Nothobranchius furzeri: one gene and its partner. The protein of the gene in region 1 purifies or fractionates together with the protein of each later gene. This does not show direct contact. Links are inferred from orthologs where the notes say so. Each region holds a gene or a part of one and is shown in the gene's direction. Other genes may lie near its edges.

The links.
Region 2: the proteins of clk2a (region 1) and acin1b purify together in Homo sapiens (affinity purification with mass spectrometry; 3 studies listed by BioGRID and IntAct, counting the BioPlex papers as one, with this or other methods). This does not show direct contact. The link is inferred for Nothobranchius furzeri from reciprocal best matches to the Homo sapiens genes CLK2 and ACIN1.

What each region holds. Positions count from the first base shown.
Region 1 is NC_091759.1:6,925,681-6,934,542, forward strand, and holds the start of clk2a (dual specificity protein kinase CLK2), read left to right. Parts: upstream 1-2,880; 5' UTR 2,881-3,020; intron 3,021-4,199; coding exon 4,200-4,387; intron 4,388-4,463; coding exon 4,464-4,743; intron 4,744-5,697; coding exon 5,698-5,788; intron 5,789-7,815; coding exon 7,816-7,882; intron 7,883-8,862. UniProt on the Homo sapiens protein: Dual specificity kinase acting on both serine/threonine and tyrosine-containing substrates. Phosphorylates serine- and arginine-rich (SR) proteins of the spliceosomal complex.
Region 2 is NC_091742.1:59,495,027-59,503,179, reverse strand, and holds part of acin1b (apoptotic chromatin condensation inducer 1b), read left to right. Parts: intron 1-4,316; coding exon 4,317-4,382; intron 4,383-4,469; coding exon 4,470-4,581; intron 4,582-4,662; coding exon 4,663-4,736; intron 4,737-4,893; coding exon 4,894-6,435; intron 6,436-7,410; coding exon 7,411-7,493; intron 7,494-8,153.

The sequences.
Region 1 (8,862 bases):
CGAAGAGCATGACAAATGGTCATGTACTCATCTTGCATTTATATGTCTGGGAGGAAGTCCACTGATGTATGGCAAGAACATGCTAACTTCACTCCAAAAGCCTTTGAATGGGATTTGGACTGGCGACCTTGCTGCTAAGTGACAGTGCTATAAACTTCACCACCATGCAGCCCTTATGTAGATCATTCTTGAAATACAAGACTGCAGCACTTGGGTCAGCTGCCATGCTGTTTTATAAGTGCTTTATAAATAAACTTGATGATGATGATGAAATACAAGACTTTAAATTTTGTACTGGTAAATAAACTTAGGCCAATAACAAGTGTTTATACTACTGATGTGAACTCTGGGCAAATGCACAGCTGGACATATTGAATACACCCAATAAATGACTGAGCTCCGCTGTTTGTTATTCCCTGTACTCTCACACTGCCTTCGTTGACCAGGTCTTTCACCTGGTGAAATAAAAGAATAACACATTACTGGTCATTTGTCGATGCTTCTAAGAAGGACTGCTAATATGAGCTTGATTGAGAATAAGGATTCTAATTTCATTAAGCCAACTTATAAAAAGAGCCTTGATTTACATTTCTATGTATCTTTGGAAAAAGTACCTTTCAAGAAAATCAGCATTCATAGAATAATTCCTGGTGGATGTACACACCATTCTAGACACACGCATTCATTCCCATGGAACCATGAAAACATAATCAATGGAATTATTTGTAATTAAACCCAAAGTAAATGTGTTTTAATCCTGCTACGAGGTCCCAAGACCCAACATTGTCTTTGCAAAGAACCATGACATTCATAAACAATCTCATCCCCCATGCTAACTTATGTTGCACTTCCGGGTATGGATGAATCCTTCCAGTTAAGGCTGAAAAACGTGAAAAGTGTGTTGCTGCATTTTGCATAACAAAGATATTTTTTGATCTGCAGTTGACATTTTACATTTTTCAAAATGGGGGTTCTGTGGAAAGGCAAATATTAAATATCTTATCGGCTGTAGAAAGTTCTTTGAACAGCCTGTTTGAATGCCTTAAAACCAGATGAAAAAAAATATTTTTGTACTTTGTATAAGCACAAATATTTTGTGGTTAAATGGAAAAATAATGACATTTTAGACAAAAGTACTACAGTATATTGCTCCACAGCAATTATAATGTGGTATATAATTTCAATAACTATCCATTTTCAGCTGCTTATCCAGAGTAGGGTCGCGGGGGTGCAGCAGCCTAAACCGAGAGGCCCAAACTTCCCTCTCCTCTGCCACTTGGGCCAGCGCCTCCTGGGGAATCCCAAGGTGTCCCTACGCCAGCTGAGAGACATATGGCTCTCTCTCACTAGCATCGGCTCCACTGCGCCTGGACTGGGTTGGAATTGTTCCCGCGTGCAACCGGATGTCTTTTCAGCCCTCTTCCCGAAGCGGTCTTCCTGGAGCCGAACAGGGCTGAATACAGCCACTGCTGACTGATTGGCCTGCTCAAAATTAAGTGTACCATTAGGGGAGCCTCCAAATGGCAGATAGAATCAGCCCGTGGGGGCTTACATGCACAATTCATTATTCTGGATGCTGTGGAGTTAACGCCGTTTTACTCATTGCTTTGAGGAGGTGCGCGCGCACACACACACACACACACACACACACACACACACACACACACACACACACACACACACACACACAAACACACACAGTGCTGCCAGACAGCAAAGCAGGATGCAAAAGTAATCAGAATATACAAAAGCAAGACTGCTCAGGCCGCCTTTGTTTAATAATGGAGACACCACAGACTTCTTCGCACTCTTTTGCCCTGCACACGTGCACAGAGACGCGCTCATGACATCACAGGACACAGACTGCCCATGTGCTCATATACATCTGCATTCCTAAGGCGGTGTGGAACGAACACAGCCAGGTTTGGGTAGGCAGAGTGGAGTGGAGCCTCTGCTAGTGTGTAAGTGGCAATAGTCCCTGAAGCGTGTCCTGGGTTTTCTCTTGGGTCTCCTCCTAGTTGGAAGTGGGAGGCGTCCAGGAGGCATCCTAACCAGATGCCGGAGCCACCTCAACTGGTTCCTCTCAACATGGAAGAGCACCGGGTCAACTCCGAGCACCTCCCAGATGACTGAGCTTCTCATCATAACTCTAAGGGAGAGCCTGCAGAGAAAACTAATTTTGGTCACTTGTATCCGCAATCCCGTTCTTTTGATCTCTTCCCAAAGCTTGTGACTATAGCTGAGGGTAGGAACGTAGATAAACCGACAAATTGAGAGCTTTGCCTTCCACCTCAGCTCTCTCTTCACCACAGACCGATACAGCGCCTGCATCACTGCAGACGCAGCACGAATCCACCCATCTATCTCATGTTCCATTTTTCTCTCGTGAATTCAGTAACTATATTTAGTGAAATTTATAGTGGTGTAAAATTTTGCAAGGACTATATTTTTTGAGATTTGAGTCATTTTTAAGTCAACATACATAAGTCAAACTAGCAAGTAGGTACTCTGTATAGTCACAGCATGTCTTTTTCTCTAGACTGAGGCTCATCAAGTTGCTTACCACTAGGAAGATGATAAATGGACTTCTGTTTTTCACAGAAAGAGACTTAGAATATCCAAACCATCCCTCAAAGTGCTAATATATATATATATATATATATATATATATATATATATATATATATATATATATATCTGAACAGAAAATGGTATTTATCAGTACAAGAAAAGGCATTTTATTTATCAGTACAAGAAAGGGCATTTTGACAAGGAGGAATTGCTTTTTTTTTTCAATTAAATGTTTCAACTGCTTGCCATACACCTTGCTCCAGGAATGGTACTGCGTTACAGCGCAAGGAGGCGTTACAGCAACACACACTAGTTTGTACCAGAACTTAGACGGTGGATGGAACCGGAGGGCTAAAGGGTCTGACGATTTAGCAACTAGATAGTAGATACACCCAACTGCCACCACGGATTTTTTATGGGATAAACGAACAGGCCTCGCTGCTAAAACGGTGACTATATTCGTTTTTGAATTTCGGGACGCTGTTTTTGCACTGGTTATGCCGCGGTTCTCACGACAGCTAGCATTAGTTGCCGCGGACCTGACGAACGTAGCTAAGATGGCGGTCAAATTATTTACATTAGCTCTCTGCTAGCGCTGTAAGCTAACCGCTGCCCGCTCGCTAAGTAGCCAGTTTTAACATAATAAAATGTATGTTTCGCGTTTTATGTGTTTCCATGTTGCAGCTGTCCAGAGTGTTATTGTTTATTTTCATGATGCTTAGTCAAATTAATTAAGTTAACAGCAATTTTAGCGAGATATTTAATCATTTTACATGGTCTTGGATTTAGCGAACGTTATTTAAGGAGTTGTCGTTTGCACTTATTGTTAACGTAGCGTCTTCGTTATGCTTTGTGTGCTTTAATTTGATTTATGTGTCGAAGCACACACATTGTAGGGATGTGACATTCCACAAAAATCTCGCTCCAACTTGACGTAGCTGCTATTTTCTCTTTCTGTACCAAGGCTAGCTGGTTTGTCTCGAAACACGAGACGATGCTCGTTATTTTCTCTTCTAGTCTTACTGATTATTTTATGTTGCTATATTTTTAGAGGTCACTCTTCACAACATTAGGTTCAGAGTGACCATTCGGTCTTGAATTTGGGATACTTTTCTTAGTGTTTGATAAACTTTCTGCTAAGTCCCATAAAAATACACATTTTCAGGCCTTTGAGTTCAAATTAATTTGGATTAAAAGGATTGTCACTTCTATGCAAAGCAATGCGAGCTAGTTATTTTTAAACAATTTTACAGATCCCTTTCTTAAAATAAAGCTCAGTTCAATAGGAACTGCCTTTTGCTAGAATAACAATGAAAACGTAACTTCTCCATTAGCCTCTATTCAAAAACAGACAGAATAAAACTGCATTTTTACACTAGTAGATCTCATCATGACAGCTAGCAGTTTGCTTGTTCGTTGGTATTCCAAACTTACAGTAATGTAGAATAATCATTTTGAAGCTTGAGGTAATTTTACGATTTCTGAAATATTTATTTGTGAGATTTTTCATGTTTTCTACCGATGTCCTCTGATAAAACAGCTGACTTTCATTACTTGGCTAAATGTATTGCCAACCTCAAGGTTTTGATTTCAACTCTGATTGATTTGCCTTTCCAACAATCCACTAGATGCCTCACAACAGACGGTACTCATCGTCTGATAGAGACAGTCGCAGCAGCTACCCAGATCGCTACAGAGACAGAGGACGAAGATATCGGCACAGACGATCACCTACGAACTCCTCCAGTAGTGACAGAGACCGCGACAGAAGGGGGCGAGGGCACAGACAGGAACAAAGCTACATGCGCTCAAGGAGGTACGTCTGCATGTGATGTTACATTTATAATGAGATTAACACAGTTTACTGTTTAACATGAATTCCTTGTGTTTAGTCGCAGCTATGACAATCGCTCAACAGAACATCGACCTTTTGATCGACGGTACTACGAGGGATACAGACGGTTGGATCAGAGCCAAGATCGCGACAGAGACAGGGAGCCACATGGAGCAGCCGAGAGCTACTGCCCACGAGACTTCTCCCCGAACATGTACGACTACAGGCGTGGCCGCGAGAGGGAGCGCGAACGGGACGATTCATATCGGCGGAAAGGCAGCAGGCGTAAGCACAAACGAAGGCGGCGTAGAACCAGGTCCTATAGCGCTTCCTCCTCGGTGAGTAGAGCCAGGTCCAATATTGTTCTGTACCTCTTTTTTTTTCTATTTCCGCCTCTAGTTTCCACCTCTACCTCTTTCAGTCTGTCTTTCACTAACCGTTTTCCCTTGCAGCCCGTGGACTCGGTAAGTAGTGAATTCTTTATGATTTGTTTTATTTCTCTCAGTATGTTTTTATTTGTTTTGCTAAACACTGTTATTGTTTTTGGTAGAACATTTTTATTTTTTTAAAACCCTTTTTGTATATTAGTGAAGGAAAATGAAAATTTGAACTTTGTTCACGTCCACGGTGAAATCCCTGATGTAACGTTAAAAATGTTAAATTAGATCCCAGTTTTGAGTTTAAATGAAGTTTGCATTAGAAAAATAAAAATGTTCTCCCCAACTCCATACAAAATGTAGGTTTAATTAGAATTTGGATGATTTACCATGTAAAAGGGCTGGTTTTATAGGTGTTTGTTTAAATGTGGAGTGTGATTATGCACACCTGTAAATTACTCTAATCATGATTTAGTCTTGAGTTTTATCTGGCATAGATTATTTAGAAATATTTCCTGCTGGAGCTGCTATGATCCAGTCATTTTTTATTTTGTTTAATCTGAAATTAGCCTGATGCATTAGTTTTACCACTGGTTTAACTGGTTTTTGCGTTGATTAATGGAAAAGCCAGTTGCCTCTTTGTTTTTGAGCAGCTGTGGTTATAAATTGAAGGGGGGAAAGAAGATGTGATCTTTGACTTGTTCCCTTGCACTATATCCCTATCGTTATATATTTCCTTCACGTGGTGTCATGCGTGAATCGCCACGTGACCACGAAACCCACCTACAACCACAACACCACCCTCCTCCTCCCTCCTCATCTACCTGTGCCACCTGATGCCGTGGCTGCTACTGAAACCCCTGTCCCCTCTGGTCGTGTTCTGACCTGCTGATGGCGGTTTGGGTGTGAATACAGCGGAGCACCAGCCGGACGCGGGCACTGAGTGTGAGGGACGACGAGGAAGGGCACCTGATCTGTCGGAGTGGGGACGTCCTGCAAGAGAGATGTACTCACTGCCACTACTCTATCGTAACCCTTCTCCATATGAGTATAATCATAGAGCATTTACATGACATGGGATTGTCTGATGATGATGATGATGATGCCTTGCTAGAATGCTCTTCGCTCTAGCTGAAGTAGCTGGGTGGATTGCAAAAGGAGTGTTGATGAATTTGAGAGAAACTTTAGATAAATTCTGCCTTTTTGTTCTACGATTTTAACTCTGTGGAGCATTTCTTTTGTGTTTCACAGGTTTATTTGACTTCACAAAACGTAGAATCCAGTTTTTAGCTGTTTGTTTTCTTGTGCTGTAGCCTAAAAGTCAGTTACAGTTTATATAGCTGTAACTCAAGTTAGCTGTTTCCCACAACCAATGTTTTAGGGATTCTAGTTAACTTACACACACTTAAGTAGTCAATTCTGAATTGTACAATTATAACATGTACATTTTTAACTTAAATTTAAAGGCCAAGTTCACTTTTTTAACTTATTTTAGGAATTGATCTGTCACTTTAAAACAAACACGCAGGTTAATCATGAAAAGATCCGTTTCCTGCATCAGCCACTAATAGGAATGGGAAAACTCAGATTAGCAAAGGCAGTCAGCTCTACACACTGAAAATTAGCATTCATGAACTTGCCCAATTTAGCTCGTGACGGGGAAGGCTGTTGTTGATTTATTGTTCTGAAGAGACCAGAGCACATCTCGGCTGGTAGAAGCTAACTGTTAGCATTAGCAGCTCCACCACACAGAACTCCTCCAGGCTTGTGTTATTTGTGGAGATAAATCATCAGCGAGATGTCCGACTTTTAGGAAATACGACTCTTAAGTCTTGCCATTTCTTCTGCTCGCCTTTAATCTGGTTGACATCTGCTTCCTGAAACTAAACTGCAACATTTTTTTTCCACAGAGGTCGACTCACGAGACATTAGTTTATAGCCTGGCCAGCCAGACTCGTCCTGTTTAATTCTGCACAGAGAAAGGGTCTGGGAACGCTCCTATACAAATAACCTCACCCCGTGAGAATTCTAACCGAGCCAATCAGTGCTGAGTATCGTACGTCACACACCACAACGCCGAGTTTGTCGAACATGGCGACTGAACCGGAATTTGCTGCGGCTCTTTCCTTTGTTCTAAATGACTTGGACACGTCTTTAAAACAACATGTAGAAGCGCCAAAAGCCTTTCTTCTAAAGAAAAATGATTGCGCTGTCACCAGACGCCATTTTTGACTACAGTTAAAAAAACTACAGCGTCGCTGATGTCACACACAGCGACGCTCAGTTTCTCAGAAACAACGAAGACAGCGGTGGAGTTTGCTGCAGCTCTTTCATCTGTTCTAAATGACTTGAATGTCTTTAAAATAACAACATGTAGGAGCACTAAAAGAATTTCTTCTAAAAAAAAAAAAATGTTTACGCCGTTGCCAGACATCTTTTATTACTACAGCTAAAAAAAACTACAGCGTTACGCGGTACAGTCAGCATTTCAGTCTTTTTTTCTGATTGGTTATTTTTGAGCTGGCTAGTCCCGCCCCTCTTGTGCCTCTCTGCCTGTGAGTTACCAGACTCTTTCTCTGTGCAGAATTAAACAGAGGACGAGTCTGGCAGGCCAGGCTATTTAATTTACACCAGAGACCGCTGCAAATGTGTAGAAAAAGATGAGTGAACTTGGTCTTTAACTTTTCCTGAGTTAAACAGTTTTAAAAATGCTAATCCGTATCAACCGTGCCATCTGTTTGTTAGCCATCTATTTATTTAGATAAAGACAACACAGCTACAGATTAGTCATAAAATGAGGTGTTTTATAATTGCCCCCTTATGTTTTAATTAGAAGTTGCATTCACTTATCTTAGACTTTGTTTTTTTTAACCTGGCACAGTCAATAGGGAGCTTTTTATTTTAAGTGATGGGTGTTAGCAAAGATTCGCCTATCTGCTGTTTTTTCCTGCTTGAGTCCACATATCTAATGCTCCTTTTTTCTTCTTCTTCCACTTCCCTGTCTTTTCCTTTTCTGTTTTTGTTGTGTTGCAGATGAAATCGTCAGCACTTTGGGGGAAGGCACCTTCGGGAGGGTGATGCGGTGCATTGACCATCGCAGGTGTGCATCAGTTCAAATAATAACAAATTAAAAAAAGCTAAGGATGCTCTGATCCGATCACATGATTTTCGGACAATCATAATAGTGTAGAACAGAAACAATTTTACCTTGTAAAACAACAAGCAAGACCTTTTAACTTCATCCTGATATACATAAAGACAATGGCGTAGTGTTAGTTTTAACAAGTTCCACTGCATCAGTGTTCGTTGTTGCGTGGGCGACACCATGACGTCGCACAATTTCCAGCTAGTGGGGATTCAGACACTGTTAACATGTAGCTGTTAGCTAGCAGGCCAATACAGCTCTAACGTGTCGCCTTAGCGAAAATATCTGCATTTTGGATTCTTTAAATCTGGACAACAAAGGCAGAGTAACGTTTGTTTGTTTGTTTATTTATTTATTTATGTAGCACCAATTCACAGCGAGAGTTGTCCCTACAGCGTCTTGTCGTGTTCATACCGGGCGTTTCACTTGGTGGAAAAGACCGATCTGCCTTCAACACTACAAATCTTATACGCTTCCTTAGAAACAAAGTTCCTTTGGCTTTTCCCGTCGAGGGGTAATCTCTTTTTTTTTTTTATTATTATTTTTTGTAAAACAATTTATTTTTTGATAAGTTTAAATATGCAAAAAGCCTATTTAAGTAGATTTAAGTTTTCAATATTATTTCCTTGACCACATCAAATTCTTTTAGTATTTTTTTGCTACTTGTTGGTGAAAAGTTGGAGTTTATTTAAGTGATCTCAGCTTTTTCTTTATGGATGCACCCATACCAGAGACCAACATTTGTCTTATACTGCGTTTGTGTTCTTGTCCTGGTACTTATCATCCATTTGAAAGCCAAAAACCAAAGTAGCATTTGGCTTTTTTCCCATTTTCTTCCTGTTGTACTGACCCCATATTGAACTATGACTTGGATCAAGCACTCATGTTGTACTCTTACCAAAACATATGGTGGCGGTGCATATCTGCTAGTGGTG
Region 2 (8,153 bases), on another chromosome or scaffold:
TCATATATTTTCCTCAAGTTCAACTGCACTCTGAAGAGGCTCATTTGGATTGTGCCACATAGGCCAGTGACCTTTGTCTCAGCACTGTATGCTGGAACTATCAGCGACCAACCTGGGAATCTGGTGTGTTGAAAATGCTACAACTAGAGATGGTCATCATGGTAGACAGGGGTTTCTTCATTGATGACATTGTGCCCTGCAAAGTGTACAGGCCAGCTTTCCTTTCTGGCAAACCTCAAATGTCTGCATGTGAAGTTATAGAAACAGAAGCCATAACATCTCTGAGTGCATGTGGAGCGCTCCATTCATCTGGTCCAAGAACACAAGCTTTTTGATTGTTATTCCCCTCCTTGCATTTGTAAACAATCAGCTATATGCTGTGGTTTTTCTCCTTACCAACTTTTAAAATAGCCCACTAGTGAAGGCCTGGGCAAAGAAGCCTGATGTCTGAGAACCTCAACATATGTACGGCAACCACACTGTATATTTACACACTTTCATAAAGAAACTGCATATCAAGCTTTCATTCAGATGACCTTCAACAGTGCTGCACCCTGCTGAGGGACATCCGAGTAAAACCTTGAGATGGCCATTTTCTGTTCACTAACTTGCTTTAGTAAATCCTTACTTTTGTTAAATAAATCAGTTGTTGAACCCCCACTCCTCTGTTTGGTCTCCTTTCTTATTACAGCCCACCACTTCCAGTCTGGGTTGTAACAATCTGCAGACAGATTTTTGAGTGTCTCCTCCTCCTTTGGTACACAGATCCTCACTGAGCCATGTACTGTGAACAAATAGTTTCTCCGTGATATTGTCCAGCAAGGTCCCGTTTTTGTCAAAACAAGGGTGAGGTAATGAAAAAATAGAAATATTTGATTAAATTAACATTTAAATTATTTATATGCATCATTAAAATAAAAAAAACATGTTTTGAAATATATAAAGTGCACCAAACTTGACTCAGTCCATTCAACAATTCTAAATGGACAATTATGTAACTCATCAATTAATTATTTGAAAGGATAATTTGTCAATTAAATACTGAAAAAAATAAACAATTCATTAATGAGGCAAGAACTTCTCTCTCTCTCTCTCTCTCTCTCTCTCTCTCTCTCTCTCTCTCTCTCTCTCTCTCTATCTCTATCTCTCTCTCTCTCTCTCTCTCTCTCTAAGGGAGTTTGCAGTTATTTCAGTATGTATTTTTCCAGTATCACAAAAAATGTAATTTTATATGGTTAAAACCGTCTAGCTTATGTGCACTTTTTAAAACACTGCCCAGCAAACATTCGGACGTTTAATGACAGTTGAACGGTCACAACTGTAAAATACCTGGAATTAAGAAAAATTAACATGACATCTACTGCATTTTCCTTGCCTGGACTCGAACCTGGATCCTCCGGGGCGAGAGTCACCCGCTCTCCCAGCTGAGCTATGCCAGCAACTACTGAATGTCAGACTTTTTTATATAGATAGAGGATACAGTGCGGGGTAAACTAACCAATCAGAGGACAGAGAAGATCTGCCACAGGCCACGCCTCCAGAGTGCCAAAAGCCCTTACAGCCGAGCGAGCAGGAGTCAGAAACCGAGCGCGCACAGAGGCTGCCACGCGCGCACGTTTTCCTCTGCCGTGTGCTCGTTGACAACGCGCGCACGCAGGTTTGTCACTTGTGCACATCCTTGTGCGCTCACAGACACAGTTTGCTCCCTCTCAGTGCACAAATGACCTCTCGCCATGTATATTTCCGCTCGCGAGTCCCGTTCACACGCGCGCTGCCATGTATATTTGCGCTTGCGAGTCCCGTTCACACGCGCGCTGTGGACCCAATGCGCGTGCACGGGTTGTGGCACGCTTTAAACGCCATAGGCGAGCTCAGCTGCCGAAATGCGGCAGGATGGCGGAAGGAGCGGTCGCCCTTTATGTAGCTCCGGTAGCTATCTCAAATAATGGACTTGTGAAAGAAAACCCACAAAAGGTTTGATTGGCCAATGGGGGTAGCGTGATCATGCTGCAAGCACATGCGCAGATCATTTTCTTTCTGGTCCTCTGGAAGGAAGGACGGTCCTGTCGCTTCAGATGCATCGCTAATCTGCTGGTAAAGTCTGCTACTCAGTTGTAGTCAAAGTAGCTGAGGGGGGTCAGAAATGTCACCAGAATTGTCGCTAGGCGCTTTTTGGAAAAAATGTCGTTAAGGGGGTCTGAAAAGGCGTTAGAAATGGTGACAAATTCGCTAAGTTGGCAACACTGCCCGTACTTCCGACTTTGTCTTCTTTGAGGGATAATAAATGTCCTCCCGAGCGCTGCCGTCTCCTCCTTTGAACATTATTTCAGCTTTAGCTTCAAGAAAGTTTTGGTTGTAAACAACGAAGCACGCAACTTCTGCAGATGATACGGTGGCTGGTAAGGGTCACCGCGCCTACACCGCAGCCACGGTAAACCCACCAAGATAATATAGTTTTTTAAAAAAAACAAGACGGTTATTATTATTGTCAACTTTTTTTTTTACCGGGGTTTACCGCTACACTGGTTACAGTGACAACCCTACGCTGATTGGTCTGCTTTGATCTATTTTGAAAACTCCGATCAAAACCGATAGGGGCGCTATCGGCCGATTACGATCAAATGCCGATCCATCGGTGCATCCCTAGTAATATAGGCAGAAGCTGGATGTTTCCCTGAAAGATATCTAGTCCCCATAATTCGATCCCTGCTCCTGGATGAAAAACTGGACATTTTGATCAATGTAGGAACCCTGAACTCGAGTGGTGTTTCGTTATTGGACTTCTGTGCAAGCCGCAGTTTGGCCATAACGAACACCGTGTTCGAACATAAGAATGCCCATCGGTACACTTGGTACCAGGGCAGCCTAGGTCGCAGGTCGATGATAGACTTTGTAGTCGTATCATCTGACCTGCGGCCGTATGTTTTGGACACCTGAGTGAAGAGAGGGGCGGAGCTGTCAACTGATCACCACCTGGTGGTGAGTTGGATCAGATGGCAGAGGAAGATGCCGCGTAGACCTGGCAGACCCAAACGCATAGTGAGGGTCTGCTGGGAACGCCTGGCAGAAGAACCTGTCAAGACGGTCTTCAACTTTCACCTCCGGCAGAGCTTTGACCACATCCCGAGAGCAGTGGGGGACATCGACTCCGAGTGGGCCTTGTTCCACTCTGCAATTGTTGAGGCGGCTGTTGCTAGCTGTGGTCACAAGGTGGCCAGTGCCAGTCGTGGTGGCAGCCCCCGTACCCGCTGGTGGACACCAGAGGTTTGAGAAGCCGTCAGGCTGTAGAAGGAGGCCTACAGGGCGTGGCTGGTCTGTGGGTGTCCGGAGGCAGCAGACAGGTACCGGATAGCCAAGCGGGGTGCAGCAGTGGCAGTTGCCGAGGCAAAATCTCGGGCATGGGAGGAGTTTGGTGAGGCCATGGAGAAAGACTATCGATTGGCTCCAAAGAGGTTCTGGCAAACTGTCCGGTGCCTCAGGAGAGGAAGGCAGCAACTCGCTCACACTGTTTACAGTGGGGATGGGGAGCTGCTGACGTCAACTGGGGCTATAGTGGGGGGGGGGTGGGGGGTGGAAGGAATACTTTGAGGAGTTCCTCAATCCCACCTACGCGCATTCCGAGGAGGAGCCAGAGCCGGGAGACCTGGGGATGGACTGTCCAATCTCTGGGGCAGAAGTTGCTGAGGTAGTCAAACAACTACACAGCGGCCGAGCCCCGGGGGCGGATGAGGTTTGTCCTGGGTATCTCAAGGCTATGGATGTTGCAGGGCTGTCGTGGTTGGCACGTCTCTGCAACATTGCGTGGCCATCGGGGGCAGTTCCTGTGGAGTGGCAGACCGGGGTGGTGGTCCCCATCTTTTAGAAGGTTGACCGGTGTGTGTGTTCCAACTATAGGGGCAGTGTTTCCCCTAGGAATTTTTCCAGCTGTGGTGGTGGTTTGGGGGGGGGGGGGGATTATGACACGTCTCACCTTTATGTTAATATTGTTTTATTAGATGCACTCCACTTTGAACTGCAACAAAAAAAACCCGACCGGAGGCAGTGACCGACGCATGCCGTTTTCAGCTCTGTCTTGTCAAATGCACCACGTACGTTCCGAAAAAAGTAACTTTAAGTATTCAACCGAAAAAGGCGAGCTGAAGAAAACCTCGGGAATACCGAAGAAACGTGAGCAACAATGAAGCAAGCACAGAGAGATCCGTTACTGTCTGTGTGTGGGCGTGGGGCGGATCAGAGTTTTGTGTGAGTTAATGTCACACTTTAAAGGTCAAATGTTCACGCTGAAGTTTATTTCTCTCCTTTTTTAATCCATGCAGGCTCTGATGCTGGAAAACCTGCAGAAATCATCCTCCTCTCACAGTGTGCTGCAGCCAAACTCTCAGGTTGGAGTTTATTTCCAGTTAAACAAAAGTTAAATTTAATATCTGGGGTAATTGTGTCATTTGTTTTCTTTTTGTACTAATGTGTAGATTGGGGAGGAGATGTGCCAGAACAGCTTCATAAAACAGTACTTGGCCAAACAGCAGGAGCTCCTCCATCAGAGGCTTGAGAGAGGGGCCCAGAGGGGAGAAGAGGCTGATGGTACATCACCCGTAGCGACACACATGGTAACTAAATGGTGTAATTTATAGTAAATAAAACAGAAAGTTTTCTTGTTGACAGAAAGTCCAGCTGGACCAGAGGAGGATGAAGACCATTCTGAAGACGAAGACAGCTCATCATACGTTACAGATAAAGTTAGTACTGGTTTATCTGGTCTATTCGCTCTGACAATCCTGTAAAATCACATTTGAACTGTAGCTGATAATCAGAATTATTAAAGTCATTTATTTTGTTCCAAATCATTAGAAATGCTGTAAAATATGTAAACGTTGTTATTTCTGTACCGGGCAGAGTCAAACGTTACCGTCCCAACCCTCGGGTGCTCCCGGTTCTACTTTCCACCACCAGGAGTCTCCTGAAGCTTCAGGAGTCAAGCTGCAGCGAGGACACAAGGAGGCCCCGGCCCCCTCTCCTCCTCGTGCGGTCGCCTACCTGTCGGTGCGAGTCCTGGGACAGCCCGGTGGCCCCCCTGCTGCATCCCGCTCCCAGGAGAAGGAGCAAACGGTTGATCCTGGATCGGCTCACTCTGCCCTTAACCTCAGTCGCTCTGTTGGGAGATCAGCAGGAAATCACGTACAGGAGGACAGCGACGACGACGATGAAGTCAACAGTGATGATAGTGATGAAGATGAGGACTGGGGGTCCAGTTCTAGCAGAGCAGGGATGCGGAAAAGAGCGCCTCCCCCATTGCCACACGCGGCTCCCAGTAACTCCTCAGCTGCAGCGAGATCCAAACGCAAGCTTCAGCCTCCGCAGCACATCCCACCCCCGCCGCAAGTGGACCCCACTCCCATGCAGCTGCGCCACCCCACGCCTCCTCCTTCACCTCCTCATAACCTCTTCCCTTTGCCAGACACTCCCAAGCAAAGTCCTCCCGACGATCAGGAGCGGGATGGGCTCCGAGATCCACAGGTGACGCCTTTCCAATCTTCCGCAAGACAGAGGAAAGATTCGGATTCAAGCTCTCGCTCCAGCAGCCCGGAACCCCCCGTCAGAGGCAGGCCAGGGCCCCTTTCTCTGCTCGTACACAAGATGGAGACAGAGGAGGCGTCTGCAGCGCCGGGCTCGTCAGGAGATTCGGCACACTCCCCTGCCGGCTGTTCCAGGGAACCTCTGCTGCGAGGATCAGAAACGAAAAGAGCACAAAAGAGCAGAGAAGACAGGAAGCATCTGATGGAGGAGAAGGAGAGGGAACTACAGCAAGAGCAGGAACGAGAGAAGAAACGCCCAGAGGAAGAAAAGAAGAAAACACAACTGGAGGAGGAGAGGAAGCAGCGCCAGGAAGAGGAAGAGGAGAGGGAGAGAAAACACCGGGAAGAGGAAAAGGAGAAGAAACATAAGGAGGAGGAGGAGAAAAATATAATACAACTAGAAGAGAAGAAAAAGGAAAGGGAGAGAAAACACCAGGAAGAGGAAAAGGAGAAGAAACGTAAGGAGGAGGAGGAGAAAAGAATACAACTAGAAGAGGAGAAGAAAAAGGAAAGGGAGAGAAAACACCAGGAAGAGGAAAAGGAGAAGAAACGTAAGGAGGAAGAGGAGAAAAAAAGAATACAACTAGAAGAGGAGAAGAAAAAGGAAAGGGAGAGAAAATGGCAGGAGGAGGAAAAAGAGAAGAAACGTAAGGAGGAAGAGAAGAGACGAGAGGAGGAACGGCTAAAGAAGGAAAAAACTCAGGAAAAAGCCAAAGAAGAGAGTACGTTGGCGGCTGAGACTCAAGACTCAGGCTCGTCTTCAGATTCTGACTCCAAATCAGACTCCTCTTCATCACCACGCTCCTCCTCTTCCTCCTCTCCTTCCTACAGGAACAAAACCCAAACGGTCAGTCAGCCTAAGGTTAGTGAAAACCCTGTTCTGGATCTCTCGCTTCCTCTCTCTGGATTCAGCAGCACCTTCACACATAAACATCCAACCAAACACTGGAGTTTAGTCTGTTTAATCTCCTTGTAGACGCGCGTACAGTACAGGCCAAAAGTGTGGACGCACCTTCTCATTCAATGTGTTGTCTTTATCTTCACGACCATTTACATTGGGAGATTCTCACTGAAGGCATCAAAACTCTGAATGAACACATGTGGAGTTTTTTACTTAACCAAAAATGGTGAAATACCTGAAAACATGTTTTATATTCTATTTTCTTCCAAATAGCCACTCTTAGCTCTGATTACTGCTTTCTACACTCTTGGTATTCTCCTGGTGAGCTTCAAGAGGTAGTCACCTGAAATGGGTTTCCAACAGTCTTGAAGGAGTTCCCAGAGGTGTTCAGCACCTGTTGGCCCCTGGTAAACGGTCATAAAAGTAAAGAAAACGCATTGAATGAGAAGGTGTGGCCAAACTCTTGGCCTGTACTGTACGTCTTGTTTTTGTGTCTTTAAAGAGCAAGTCACTCCAAATCAACATTTTTTTGCCGATAAACTATATAAATGAGTGTCTGACCATGCTGCAGACACGTGTAGTCAGTAATTCGGCACTTTAGTGCAGCTTAGTTAAAATTTAAATATTCTGCCTAAAACTGTCAGTGTTGCACCGTCGTCAGGTAAAAACTCAGCACTGCATTTGAATTTAAATCTGCCATCCCTATTGGCTAAGAGGTACACTATGACATTAGCTGGTACATTATGATGTCACAATGTCGTGAGTGTGTGTATTTGCTAGCGGCTCCACCCTCTCGGTCTGCTAGGCAACAGCATTTGTTGCATTTTTCAAACGGGAAGTGGGAGTTGAGTAAGAATCTGGTAGGGGGTGACTTGCTCTTTAAGAAAGCTTTGCTGCGATGGTGCCATTGGCTTTTATTTTTACATCATCCCACAGACGTCGGTCCAGAGACCAGAGGCAGATGATGAGAAGGAGACCGGTGTGGGTAAAGTGTCAGAGAAACCAAGCCTTTCTAAAAGGTCAGTGAGTGTTTTTAAGATACTGATGAATGAATTCTGGACACAAGCAATTTATGACTAAATAAACCACAGTTCCATTTTAAATCAAGGTTTTGGGAATAAAGAAATTATAATGAGTATGCTACTTCATCTACATTTATTTTATGACTCTGGCCAGCACACTGTTGAAGGCTTACACACAACAAAGCACAACTAAAGAAAGAGAATCATTAGTGACATTGGAATATCTGTTGCGTCATTTCCACATTAGCCCAGATTTCCTTTTCAGTGTGTCAGGACTACAAATTATGTTTCTGAATATATTCATCTTGCAAAGAATCAAAGGAGCGGGTTGCTGTCACTGCCATTGACGACAAAAGTCGTCATTTTAAATCCAACCGTTCACATTGTTTTACAGCAGGGATTCCCTAAGTGTGGAGCTGCCGCTAGGGGGTGCGCGAGGTGAAAAGTGTAATGGCTGCTGAGCTCAGAGAAGTCTGTCATATGTCACCATTAGCATAGCCAGAAACTCATTTGTGGGTGGGCCTAAGAAAAAGTAAGTGGGCCCAATAAATGCAATCGAAAACAAGTATATTTTGCGCGCGTGTGTGTATGTCCTCCGCATGTGCCCTAGCTTCATAATAACAATGCGCCAAGCTTCAGTGCTCTGGCTTGGCGCAC